2 linked regions of the Nothobranchius furzeri genome follow. The protein of the gene in region 2 binds, or shares a complex with, the protein of the main gene of each other region. Links are inferred from orthologs where the notes say so. Each region holds a gene or a part of one and is shown on either strand. Other genes may lie near its edges.

Evidence for each region.
Region 1: eif2b2 (region 2) and eif2b3 share a complex: the UniProt entries of both Homo sapiens proteins name them as parts of the translation initiation factor 2B (eIF2B) complex. The link is inferred for Nothobranchius furzeri from reciprocal best matches to the Homo sapiens genes EIF2B2 and EIF2B3.

Annotation. Positions count from the first base shown.
Region 1 is NC_091751.1:54,334,498-54,340,604, reverse strand, and holds the start of eif2b3 (translation initiation factor eIF2B subunit gamma), read right to left. Parts: upstream 4,084-6,107; 5' UTR 3,789-4,083; intron 2,630-3,788; 5' UTR 2,625-2,629; coding exon 2,477-2,624; intron 1-2,476. UniProt on the Homo sapiens protein: Acts as a component of the translation initiation factor 2B (eIF2B) complex, which catalyzes the exchange of GDP for GTP on the eukaryotic initiation factor 2 (eIF2) complex gamma subunit.
Region 2 is NC_091742.1:2,323,263-2,329,553, reverse strand, and holds the start of eif2b2 (translation initiation factor eIF2B subunit beta), read right to left. Parts: upstream 4,172-6,291; 5' UTR 4,069-4,171; coding exon 3,897-4,068; intron 3,494-3,896; coding exon 3,373-3,493; intron 3,278-3,372; coding exon 3,126-3,277; intron 3,029-3,125; coding exon 2,865-3,028; intron 2,781-2,864; coding exon 2,685-2,780; intron 2,611-2,684; coding exon 2,473-2,610; intron 2,386-2,472; coding exon 2,319-2,385; intron 2,231-2,318; coding exon 2,073-2,230; 3' UTR 2,068-2,072; exon of another isoform or gene 2,042-2,067; intron 1-2,041. Other genes in the region: tmed10 (transmembrane emp24 domain-containing protein 10), read right to left, coding at 5,936-6,057, 6,194-6,291. UniProt on the Homo sapiens protein: Acts as a component of the translation initiation factor 2B (eIF2B) complex, which catalyzes the exchange of GDP for GTP on eukaryotic initiation factor 2 (eIF2) gamma subunit.

The sequences.
Region 1 (6,107 bases), on a different chromosome or scaffold from region 2:
AGACAGCATCGACGACATAAACTAGTTTCTACTGGGCATTTGCTCAGATTAGCTGTGTCAGCCCAGTAAAATCTAATTGCAAAGCTTTGGCTAGCAGGAAACACGTAGTAAACTGCTGGCCACACAAGCGGATTACATATAGAAAGCAACTTTTCTTTAGACAAATGAGAAATGGCAAGCTTTCATAATGAACAGTCCAATTTATTGGCAAGAATAGCAGACTGGAAAAAAGCAGGTTTACATTCATAAGCTCTGGTTTGTGGATCTGCTGCATCCTAAAGAAAATCTGGTCTATAAATCCAGACAACAAGAATGCACACCCGACAAGTGAGATGAATGAGATGATGTGTTTATGAAGAGAAATGCATGTCTAAATGTGTAATGACTTTATAATAAATAACGAAATCATATTAAAGACTGTAGTTTTCTGTTTAATTGTTGGTAAACAACAAATAGGTACAGATAAAATCAATTTATCTGCCAAAATATTGTTAGTGATGTTTTGATTAAATCTGTATTTTTTAGCACTTTTGTTTAACGAAAGAAAGAAAAAGATCTTTTATATAGCGCCTCTCAAGTTAAAAAGCACAAGGTGCTTCACAAGAACATAAAACTCAAAATACAAAAAAAAATCTTCAAAAAATTATTTTAAAATATGGTAAAAATTAGAAGAAAAAGAAGAAGACAAAAATGAGGAGCTGTGATTAAAAATGCAAGGAAAGGGAATGAGAAAATGATTATGAAAGAGGGAAATCAGTGGATCCCAGGAAAGGCGGGATTGCAGGCAGAACAAGGAGAGGGTGGTGATGAAGGTCACGTAAAAGCCAGCTTGAACAGGTGAGTTTTGAGCTGCTCTTTGAAGGAGACCACTAGGTCCACTGATCTCAGGCTCAGGGGGGTAGAGTTTCCAGAGTCTGGGGGCCACAGCAGCAAATGATCTGTCACCTTTAGCCTGTTTTACCTGGTGCTGCACAACCATTAGGCTTTGGTCACCGGACCTCAGGGACCTGCTGGGGGTGTAGGGACTAAGAAGATCATTAATGTAAGATTGGGTGTTTGTCCATGCAAGGCCCTAAACCCAGAACCAGGATCTTGAGTGGCAGTGTGTAGTTTCCTGGCACTAGGGTAGTGCATACATTTCAGAGTAGTTTTACACCATTTCGCCATGACTGCCGCTGGTAAAAATAAATAAATAAATAAAAAATAAACATTACAGTAAACATTATCTGAGGAGCAGAAGGCATGCAACCTCAGACTTTGAGGGTCCTTCAGGTAATTCCATCGAGAGAATGCAATGCCGACTCTAGTTTTCTTGCGCTGCACTTTCCGGATCTGCTCTGGGTCCTACGCCTGCCAATGATGTCATCCCACTATGGCAATATCGCTTAGCCAAAATATATTGCATCTCTTTTCAATTCTGCTCTTTCACATATGTCTGGGAAAGAGTTTAGCAGTTTTGTTATTAAATCTGTTTCATACTACCATGTCCAGCCAATTATCTAGTGTGATGTCATCAACAGGCACAAGACCCCAAGACGGTCAAAAGGAAACATGGCGTCTAATATGGCACCCCCCAAATACGCCATGTACTTTAGTCTTGATGTTTTTGGTTATTTGTAACGAAGCTGCTAATGTTTTTCAACAACTGGACATCCTTTTATTCATTTTCAACAACATTTTGATGGATATTTCCAGAGATTAAAGGTAAAAACTACATTGTCTCATTAAAGTTAAGAAACTGGTGAATAGCATTATATTTACATTGTTGGTTCTTTTTTAAAACACAGAAAAGGTTTATTTTTTTTACCTTGCTGCTGACGCGTCCGCTCTGAGGAAGTTTGCAACCGCGAATAAAACTGTGAGCAGAAAGGTAAAAAATAAACCTTTTCTGTGTTTTAAAAAATAACCAACAATGCAGTTAGAAAAGCAACACAGCAAGCACATACCAAAGGACCATTATATTTGTTTTAATCCTTACTTGTGACTTAAACTGTGTGTCTATGTATTTATCTGTGAAAATAAGGCTAAAGCACAAAATTATGCGTAGACAAATACATAAAAGATGCTGTCCAAGTCCTTATGTCAAGTTTTTATTTTTATTTTCTATTTTAAGTTCCGGATTTCTCAAGTGAGTCACATAAACCTACAAGCTGTATTGTGCCTCTTTACATTTTATGTGGAAACCAAGAATGTGCTCCCCATAACTCTTCCAAATCCTGCCACTGAGACATGGATGGAGGGCACAAAGCTTACACGGAGCCCTCCCGCCATGAGATCTGATTGTTGAGAGGATGTTAGAAGGTAAATTACAGCGTAACTCGACATACAAGTCCATACAGTTTAAACGTTAGATGGCCCACATGTGTTTATGCTTATACTGCTGGATTTGACTTTTAATCATGTCGAAGGTGGGTTTGTTGTAGCTTATGTAGGGTATAAAAATGTTAATTATTATAATTAACGCTTGAGTTCTCACCTTCAAAGCCGACTCTCTCCAGCAGGTTCAAGGGATACCACATAAGTGGTTTGTTGCCAACAGGCAGCATAGGTTTAGGTGTGTTGTATGTTAGGTCAGTCATACGAGAACCTCCCCCAGCTGCCATCAACACCGCCTGAAGCTCCATGATGTCTGGAGAGAGAAACAGACTTTAAAAGAAAATAATAACAGTTTTTATCAAATGAACTGCCAAAACTAACATTAATGAACAGCTACTGGAAATCAAATCAATGCATGATGCCCTCACATCAGCGTATGTTCTTCTAGGTACACTTATTTGCTGCTTTAACTAAACTTTTGACACAATCCTGTTAAGGTCAAGTGCTCTGTGATGCTCACTAGCTGTATCAGATTGTCATCTTGTTGCAGAAATGCAGCACCAAACTTGCAAGAACTTTCTTCCCGGTTGCCTGCAGACAATCAAGTGTCCACACTGCAGGTTTTTGGCATAATCTTCTGAGATAATCTAGTAACTGTTGCCTTAATCAGAGCACCTACTTGGCTGCACCTAAGTTCTTATATTTTTGATAAGCTGTATGGGTTTGTCTGTATAATAACATGTTAAGAGCATTTCTTGTTAGACTAATTAAGAGAGTAGATATGTGTACCTAGGTCACACAGGTATTTAAAAGGTTTGTACAACTTTGAGCACATGACACTGCTGGACATCTTTAGAAATTTAAGAAGGTAGGCATGAGGCATCTTTCATCTGTTGGATATATATATATATTGTAGATTTATTTTCCTTACTCAAAGCTGTGAAGCTAATTTGAAATCAGTTTAAAAGATCTATTGAAATGAGTAAAGACTGATTATATGCATGTGTTGATTTTGTTTGAAATTCTGCCTAATTGTGTGCTAATTATGTTTAGGTTTAAAACATTAGATTGCAAACGTTTAATACCTTAATGAGAGGTTAAACGCGATATGAAAGATAATCTGTAATTATTTGTAAATGTACAGAAATATGAATCAATACATATATTGACAAAAGTAGTAAACGTTTTCTTATTTTTTACTAAAAACACATTCCTATAGTTTAACAGAATTTAACGTTTAGATTAGATTCATGACCTTGCTTGATTAGCGCAGCTTGAAATGCAGCAATAAGAACTGTGGGACAAGATGAGACGTGCCGGTGACTGAAAAAGCTCACTGAAAGGAAAAGTTATCGTCTCACATAAGGTTGAACAGGGCAAGAGCATCACAACATGCGGTTCAATTAAATAAATGCCAGTGACTTCAACTCGAGTAAAATGCCTGAACTCGAGAATGGTTAACATTTGCATACCTATCCTTAAATCCAGTTGCCTTTCGATGACAGAAGAAACAGACGCATGCAAGTTGTGATGAGTAGTTAGCACCTGGCTAACTATCGGTACACAGACGTAAACGATGCCGCTACTCAAATTAATGCTCAAAGTCAAACTCAGCTAGACAGCTCTTTTGGAAGCAAAACTTATCATATGATAAGCGTTGGTGAAAAAAATCAAAAAGCTTGCTGAAACACTGTACAAGAACAGCGTAAGCCAAGCTAACAGCTAGCAATAGTATGATGACATTGGGAGTGTTCAGTAAAATGTGCCCGTGAGGAAACTGATTCCTCGACATTTGTTCCTACAGAATATACCGGGTATTACCGCTGACGTGAATGTTATTACATGAAAGCATTATGGCTGTCTGTCTAATAATATGAATGTGTAGTTATTCAAAAAAACGGAAAGCACATGCACAGATTTCATTTATGAGAAAATTTAAAAACATTTTTTCTGAATAAGAGCTAAGATATAATCTAACTTTGTAATGATCTGAAGAAAGTGTGAAAATACAGATCTCTTTATTTATCAACACCGGTGATAATAAGTATTCAAAGATTGTTAATTGCAATATTTTCCTTATTTCTATTCAATGATACCCCCACCCTTTAAATTTTTGGTTTAAAACATTATATGAATGCATGTTACTTTTAAGCATGTTTAATGAATTTACTTTCACACAGACACCAAAATAGTGTGAGTATATTAGCAGCCAGAAGTCACACAGCCTCCAAACTTCAGGCCTGAAAACTCTCAATCCACAGAGCTGAGACGTAACAGAAAATTGAGCTCGGGGAATGTGGCTTTGGTTTTGTTTGTTCTGGCCAGGAGATGAGCTTGACTGCTCATTACTGCTTGCTCAAAACCAGGCAAGCAACAAGTGAGGAAAAAAAGACAAAGTACCGTAGCTTGAGTGAGCAACACCATAGAACGAAGAGTGCACACTGAATCCAGTACGCCGAATTTGGCAAAAGCCTGTTGGCTAATTGTGTAGGTGAACTGATTTATCTTTTTGCATCTTGTTTGCAGAGTATGCAGTAGGCTTTAGTATTATTGGGTTAAGTGAGGGCAGTAGAATCAGTGCATTGGGGAAAATGTATAGCTATCACAGATTAAGCTGTATGATAAAAGTCAGTTTTTATAAAGGAAAACGGAAAAAAGTGCACATTTTAATTTTTTTATTTTAAATAATAATACAATAATTTACAATAGTTTGAAATCTCACAAAAATGTACTGTGAACTGTAGGAAATCACAAACTCAGCATCAGCACTGTAATCCTTTTTAACAATAACTTACTTGTTAATTGCTGCCAGTTGATTACTGTGAGCTTCACAGTGTGTTCGTTACTGTGTACCTTCATAGTTATGAATGTAGACACATACAATTAAAACCTTTGTCTTTTTTAATGTCATGTCTGGATTGTTCAATCAATCAATCAATCAATCAAAGCTTTATTTATAAAGCGCCTTCCGCAACCCTGTCAGGAAGCCCAAAGCGCTGAACAATGTACAGTTGTATGTAAATATATTGAATAAATCAACAATAAAAGAAATTCAAATTACAAAATACAAATTACAAAATACAAAATGGAAATTACAAGATAGATGAAACATTCTGGTGAAGGACAAATGTGTGAAACACATTTGGATTGAGTGGATGGATTGAGTGTACCAATGAAAACTGTGGAATGGATTCAACATAAAAGAGGGCCAAAATCAAACATGTTCTGGAAACGCCAAGCGGAGGAGGTGTGTTTTTAGGTGATTCTTAAAGACTGGCAGAGAAGGGGACAGCCTAACTGAGGGTGGCAACTGGTTCCAGAGTGACGGTGCTAGGACTGAAAAAGCCCGGTCCCCACGGGTACGACACATAGACCGAGGGACAGCGAGCAGGCCTTGGTCAGAGGAGCGCAGAGCACGTGATGGGGAATGTTTGTTCAGGAGAGTGGCCAGATAGGGGGGACCACCACCCTGGAAGAAATGATAAACAAAGACGAGGATTTTGAATTGTGAGCGATAGCAAATCGGAAGCCAGTGCAGAGAGGCCAGAACCGGACTGATGTGGTCCCGTTTCCTGGTCCCAGTCAGGAACCTGGCAGCGCTGTTCTGCACAACCTGTAGGCGATGCAGTGTTGACTGACACAACCCTGCATAGAGAGAGTTGCAGTAGTCAAGCCGAGAAATAACAAAGGCATGCAGTACCCGCTCCAGGTGGGCTCTCGACAGCATAGGCTTGATTTTAGCAAGGCGTCTCAGGTGAAAGAAACTGGACCGGATCACAGAATTGATGTGA
Region 2 (6,291 bases):
ATGCTTTTTCAGTTAGAGATTTAAGAAAAAAAGTCTGATTATTTACATAAGAACTGCTTTTAGGATAAAGATGTAATAAATGTAACACTGCAGTTAAAAAAACATCATATTTTGTTTTTTGTCTCTGAACCTGTTAGGAAAATACACATCTTTGGTTCTTTACAAACATTATTTTTACAGACAATATTTTAGCTACAATGCTGCACACGGATGGAGCCAGCGTCATGTGACCTCTACATAACCGCTCAGTCTTTAATAACCTTTTCTTTTTTAAAGTCACATTTTCTGTACAGATGTTAAAATCTACCGTTTACGTTTCCAGTTTTTTCGTGCTACTGGACAGCACATTAAATATCATCTATGTGTGCTATGTGCTATATAAATAAAGCTGCTGGCCACTTTATTGGGTACACCTTGCCAGTACCGGGTTGGACCCCGTTTTGCCTTCAGAGCTGCCTTAACAAGGTACTGGGAACATTCCTCACATGTTGGTCCATGCTGACATGATTGCATCCCGTTGTTGCTGCAGACTTGTTGGCAGCACATCCATGATGCGTCCTACCGCATCCCAAAGGTGCTCTATTGGACTGAGATCTGGTGACTGTGGAGTACAGTGAATTCACTGTCTTGTTAGAAAAACCAGTCTGAGATGATTCCAGCTTTATGACATGGTAAATTATTCTGCTGGAAGTAACCGTTAGAAGATGGGTACACTGTGGTCGCAAAGGGATGGACATGGTCAGCAACAATACTCAGGTAGGCTGAGGCGTTGCAACGATGATCAGTTAGTACTAAGGGACCCAAAGTGTGCCAAGAAAATGTCCCCCACACCATTACACCACCACCACCAGCAGCCTGAACCGTTGAGGCAAGGCAGGATGGATCCATGCTTTCATGTTGTTGACGCCAAATTCTGACCCTACCATCTGAATGTTGCAGCACACAACATTCTTCCAGTCTTCTATTGTCCAGTTTTGGTAAGCCTGTATGAATTGCAGCCTCAGTTTCATGATCTTAGCTGACAGGAGTGGCACCCGGTGTGGTCTTCTGCTGCTGTAACTCATCTACCTCAAGGTTCGACGTGTCGATGCTCTTCTGCACACCTTGACTGTAACAATTGGTTATTTGAGTTACTGTTGTCTTTCTATCAACTGGAACCAGTCTGGCCATTCTCCTCTGACCTCTGGCACCAACAAGGCATTTTCACCCACAGAACTGCTGCACACTGGATGTTTTCCCTTTTTCAGACCATTCTCTGTAAACTCTAGAGATGGTGGTGTGTCACAATCCCAGAAGATCAGCAGGTTCTGAAATACTCAGACCAGCCCGTCTGGCACTAACAACCAGACCACGTTCAAAGTCACTTCACTTACCTTTCATCCCTCATTCTGAAGCTCAGTTTGAACTTCAGCCGATCATCTTGACCATGCCAACACGCCTAAATGCATTAAGTTGCCACCCTGTGATTGGCTGATTAGTAATTAGCATTAACGAGCAATTGGACAGGTGTATCCAATAAAGTGGCCAGTGAGTGTATATTTTAATGCAAATTTTAGTATTTATGTATTTTTATTTGTACCCTTTAAATGTCCTACATCGCTGCAGCTACAATAAAATCTATAAAACTATTTGTTTAATGTCTATTAGTGGCTTGAAATTGTCAAATGGTGGCAAAATTACAGCGTAGCCAAATATTTTAGCGTTAGTTCCATAATAACCTCAACCGCTAGACTGGATCAGAAAGGGGAAGTTTTCCCACCACTAAGGCACGTTTCCCTTAAAACTTTTTCATAAATGAAAACTTGTTTTTACAGAAAAAAAGTGATTGTGTAACTGCTAATGGGAGAGGTGTTTGATTACCATTTATTCATCAAAGATGGAGTCCAGATGTGGATTATCACGTGGTTTTAGTATCTTTAGTCGATGTGTTTACCTCTGTTTTGTGCTGAAGTGGAAGGTTTGTGTGGAACTAAATAAAAGAGGAGAAAACTGCCTTCCTGCCACTGGGCTCTCTTTCTCTCAAAGTAAACAAAACTCAACGTCAATAGTTAATAACTTATTTATTACAGCGATTAAAGCTCGTGGTCCTCCGGGTGGTAAAGCTCACTCATTAGTCGATAAATGTATGAGGGTGCATGTCCTCCAATGTTGGAGATGAAGAGAGTGATGAGCTCAGGAGGAACGTAGTCGAACACTGGACAGTGTACGTTGACTTTAGAGAGGATCTCACCTGAAAAACAAAAAGATAAAACTGATTTCTTTCAATGGATGCAACTTTTCACCTGAAGGCTCAAAAGGAGGTTGTGGTAACGACTTACCTTCGGTGAAAGGGAGGACTTCGTGTGGGGAAACAAATTTATGGAAGGTGTCTTCCTCATTTGGAAACTGCAAAATAAATAAAATATAAAAGTTGAAATTGTTTGTTATTAAGAGAAAGAGCAAAGGTCTGATGGATGCGGGTGTTTATCGGACCTGAGGTGAGAGCTTGAACATCGGAGCACAAACGATGAGAGGTGTTGAGTGATGTTTGGCCGCGAGGGCAAGTGTATGTGTTCCATTGACGGCCCTCAAACCACCATTTGCTAGGACTGTCTGAGTACCGATGATGACCTGCAGACACATCATCACACAAGTTAACCTGCATGCCCTGACGATACCCTTAATCATCAGATGTGGAAAAATACCTTATTAACTCGAGACATGACCGCAAATATGGCCGCATCTGCAATCACGGTTGTTTCTATGCCCGCTTTTGATAGGCTGGTGGCCATTTCATGTCCCTATTAGAAGATAAATAAAGTTTTAAAAAATTATTTTAAACAACAAAGAGTTTAACTTACTTAGACCTCATTTGTCCGTGCTACCTGGCAGAAGGGTGCACACTCTGCTACGATGACATGGAACTTGCGTTTCCGCGCAGCGTCTTTGAGGAAGGCCTCTACGGTGCGAGAGCGCCCGATTGTCATGATGACCTCGTTGGAGTGAATGTGTTCCAGTGCCTGCATCGCAATGTTGTCAGTCGTTCCCTCTGAAAGAGTGAAGGAAGCCCAGAATTAAAGAAATCTCCTTAAAATTGTGGATTTATTCTGCTTGAAAACTAAATAAGCTTAATAAGAACAACTCACCCAGCTCCGTCAGCAACTCGTTGATGGCCTCGATGACGTTAGCTTTAAGAGGAGCAAAATGATGCCTGAAGTTCTCCTCGCTGAGTCCTCCAGAGGTCAAGAGCTTGTGGAGCGACTCCTGTTGGTCTGCTTCTTCACTGCTACCTCGAGATCTAAGGAGAGAATTAACATTGTGTCCTTTTGGAAGCAGGAATTAGTTTTGTCTGTTTTATGTTTTTATTCCGATTACACCCTGGTGCGTCCTCACCTGGCGTATTCCTCTCTGATGATCTTCAGCACCCTTCTGACCATGTTACCAACGGTGGTCTCTGAAGGCTGAGCAGCGGTCATTCTCCTGCCCTCTTTACGGATGATCTCCATGAGATCACCTAAGACAGAAAACGTGAAAATATCAAACAGGATCAGATCACAACAATGGTGAGAGCCAACAGGGGCACACAGACGGATAATTATGAGGTTTGACTGAAGCAACTTTAAATTAAGTTGTTATTGTTCGTTTCTATTCATCTGTCTGCATTCCCATTCATTTTTACATGTATATGGACACTGCTCCACATTTAATCCTATGTACGTCTTGTACTTACATAGCATCTGTACTAAACTAGGCGCACCGTTATGCTAATAGGCTAATATCCTGTTCCTGGAGCGTGGGTTTTAACAGCTAACATATTTCGCGGTGTTTCTCTCCACTTGTAGATCCTATAGCAGCTTGTGGATCTACTGTGATGTTAAGGTTAACTTTAAACTGAAGAAAGGGGACAAATGAAGCACCTGCGCTGCTCCACCGAGCCTGGGCGGTAATTTTGCGGAGTAGCGCCGTCGTTTCTCTGGCCGTTTCAGCCGAACCTCTCAGAGGTCCGGTTCCGCTGCCTCCCCGCTTCAGGTCCGACAGGAAAGCTTCGACCCTCTCCGTCAGGTCCGTTTCTTTGTACGGGCCCGGCATAGTTCAAGTAAAAACTACAGAACTAACCGGCAGAAAACAGATATAGGCGAATTTCTACCATAAAAATCGGGAACCGGAATTTCTTCTGAATTACATCCGGGGGACGCGGGTGTTCTTCTCTCTGATTGGTTGACTGATTACTGCGTCTATCTTCATCACCTTTTAAGCGATATCTTTAAAACGTAAATAAACTAGGCATCTCATCCTAAAAATACTTGATTTTTTTATTTAGCTTTAATGTTTATTCAACCTTTATTTAGGATTAAAGTCCATTTTTCAAAGGAGACTTGGCCAAAGGCGGCAGCATGGGTAAGAAAGGAGTTCGGGGCCTTTCCCATTTGATTTTGAATTTTAAAAAATGTCTGTCCTTCAACAACTAACGAAAAGTTATTTTTTGTGCTATTTTATTTTACTAATAAAAAAAATTAATGAAGTAATCAATTAGAAAAAAGCAGACAGGGCATAATAAAAAATATGTTAATTCAATACAAATTTGTGAAAATATTATGCACGTGTTATTTGCTCAAAACTTAGGTAGGTGAAGTTTCCTACCATCAAACACATGACCTAGTTTTAATCTGGGCAAATTTTTGATTTTTTAGTAATTTTGTTATTCTTGCATAAGTTTTACATAGATCATAATTTCTTGGTTACAAATTCAGTTTTCCTTGTATTTTATTATCTCCATGCAACAGAATACCTGTTTGGATCACTGTAATTTTTATTATAGGACTGGCAAAAAAAAAAAAAAAATTCTGAACATTCTTTGAACAGGGAAACACCTTTACAAACTTAACTCATGTAAATCCATCCAATATTTTTATTGAATAAAAGCCCAACACAAATTTACAAAATTTATCAGTCAACATAAAAATCACTGACTGCGCTGAATGCGCATGTTCCATTGTTAAAAATGTACCAGGACAGCCATTACTTCCTGTCAAAACCAATATGAAAACCTGCAAACACCCACATTGACGTGACCCAAGATTCAAACACTTCCAACGAAAAAACAAAAATAAAACCAACACTGGATGGATCTGCAAGGACTGTTATTGGAAACAATATAATCAGGTGTAAAGCAAAAAAGGGGCAAATGTCTGAATAACTTCTAATTTTTTGTCACAACTACCAACCTGCATTCTGATGAGAAACTTGCATGAATGCGTCATACAAACCATGTCGGTGCAAGAAGAGGATTTTTGGTTCTTGGATGATGGAGGTTCCAAAAACAAAACTCGAACATGCAAGAGATCAAGGAAGTGACCAAATTTACAATAAAGGAATATTAATGTGAAAATTCAAACCCTTCCAGTAGAAGCAACTAAGTGGCAGTTACAATATGAAAAACTAAAGACACAGTTAAATATAGCTACTGAGTGACACGACACAAAGTTTCAGTGGTTGCCAATTTCTGAAAGTAACAACAAACCATGTTTTCAATGAGCCCTGGTCGACAAAAGGACAGATGATCTAGTTTGCATGACATGGCAAAGAATGCATTTCAACAGAAGGGCAGAAACATTCACTCATGGTGTATCCATTCAAAGTGAGCTCAAAATAAAACACGATTCAACTGATGAAGGAATCTTGTTCAGGAAGCTGCAACAGTAAAAACGGTGCAGAAAGAAACAACCATCATCTCACTTCATTTCTCCTTGCAGAGCTTTTCTTGTTGACAGCTACGTAACAAGCAGATGTTCCCCCGGAGGAAAACCCTTTTCTCTCAACCTTGAAAACCAGATTTTGAGCCCCTCAGCCCCACTTGCTGTTGCTTGTTGACGCTAGTCCAAGAAGGGTGGATGCTGGGATGGGGTTGCCGACTGGCGGGCAGGGTTCCTCGGGGAACGGAGCCAGGTGAACCGCTCTACTCGATCAGCTTCTTTGCCTTGAAGAAGCGCCGCAAGTAGAAGACCTGCCATGTGGCCAGTCCGATGAGACAGCACATGGAGAATATACTGAAGTACAACACGCGTGTGTTTGTGGACTCTGTAGTGGTGAGATACAGGAGTTAACCACGTTTTATTATTGAAGTTTTTCTTTTTTATTAGGACTCTTTCCCAAAACACTAAGATATATATATTTATGTGACATCGATGACCTGATGGTTCGGTGGTTGCCTTACCGTTGGTGTCCCGCATCTCCTCTTCCCTCTTCTTCATGTAAGCAAAGTCATTCACGATGGATTCTGACAGGTCCTCCAGCCGCCTCAGCTCAACCTCC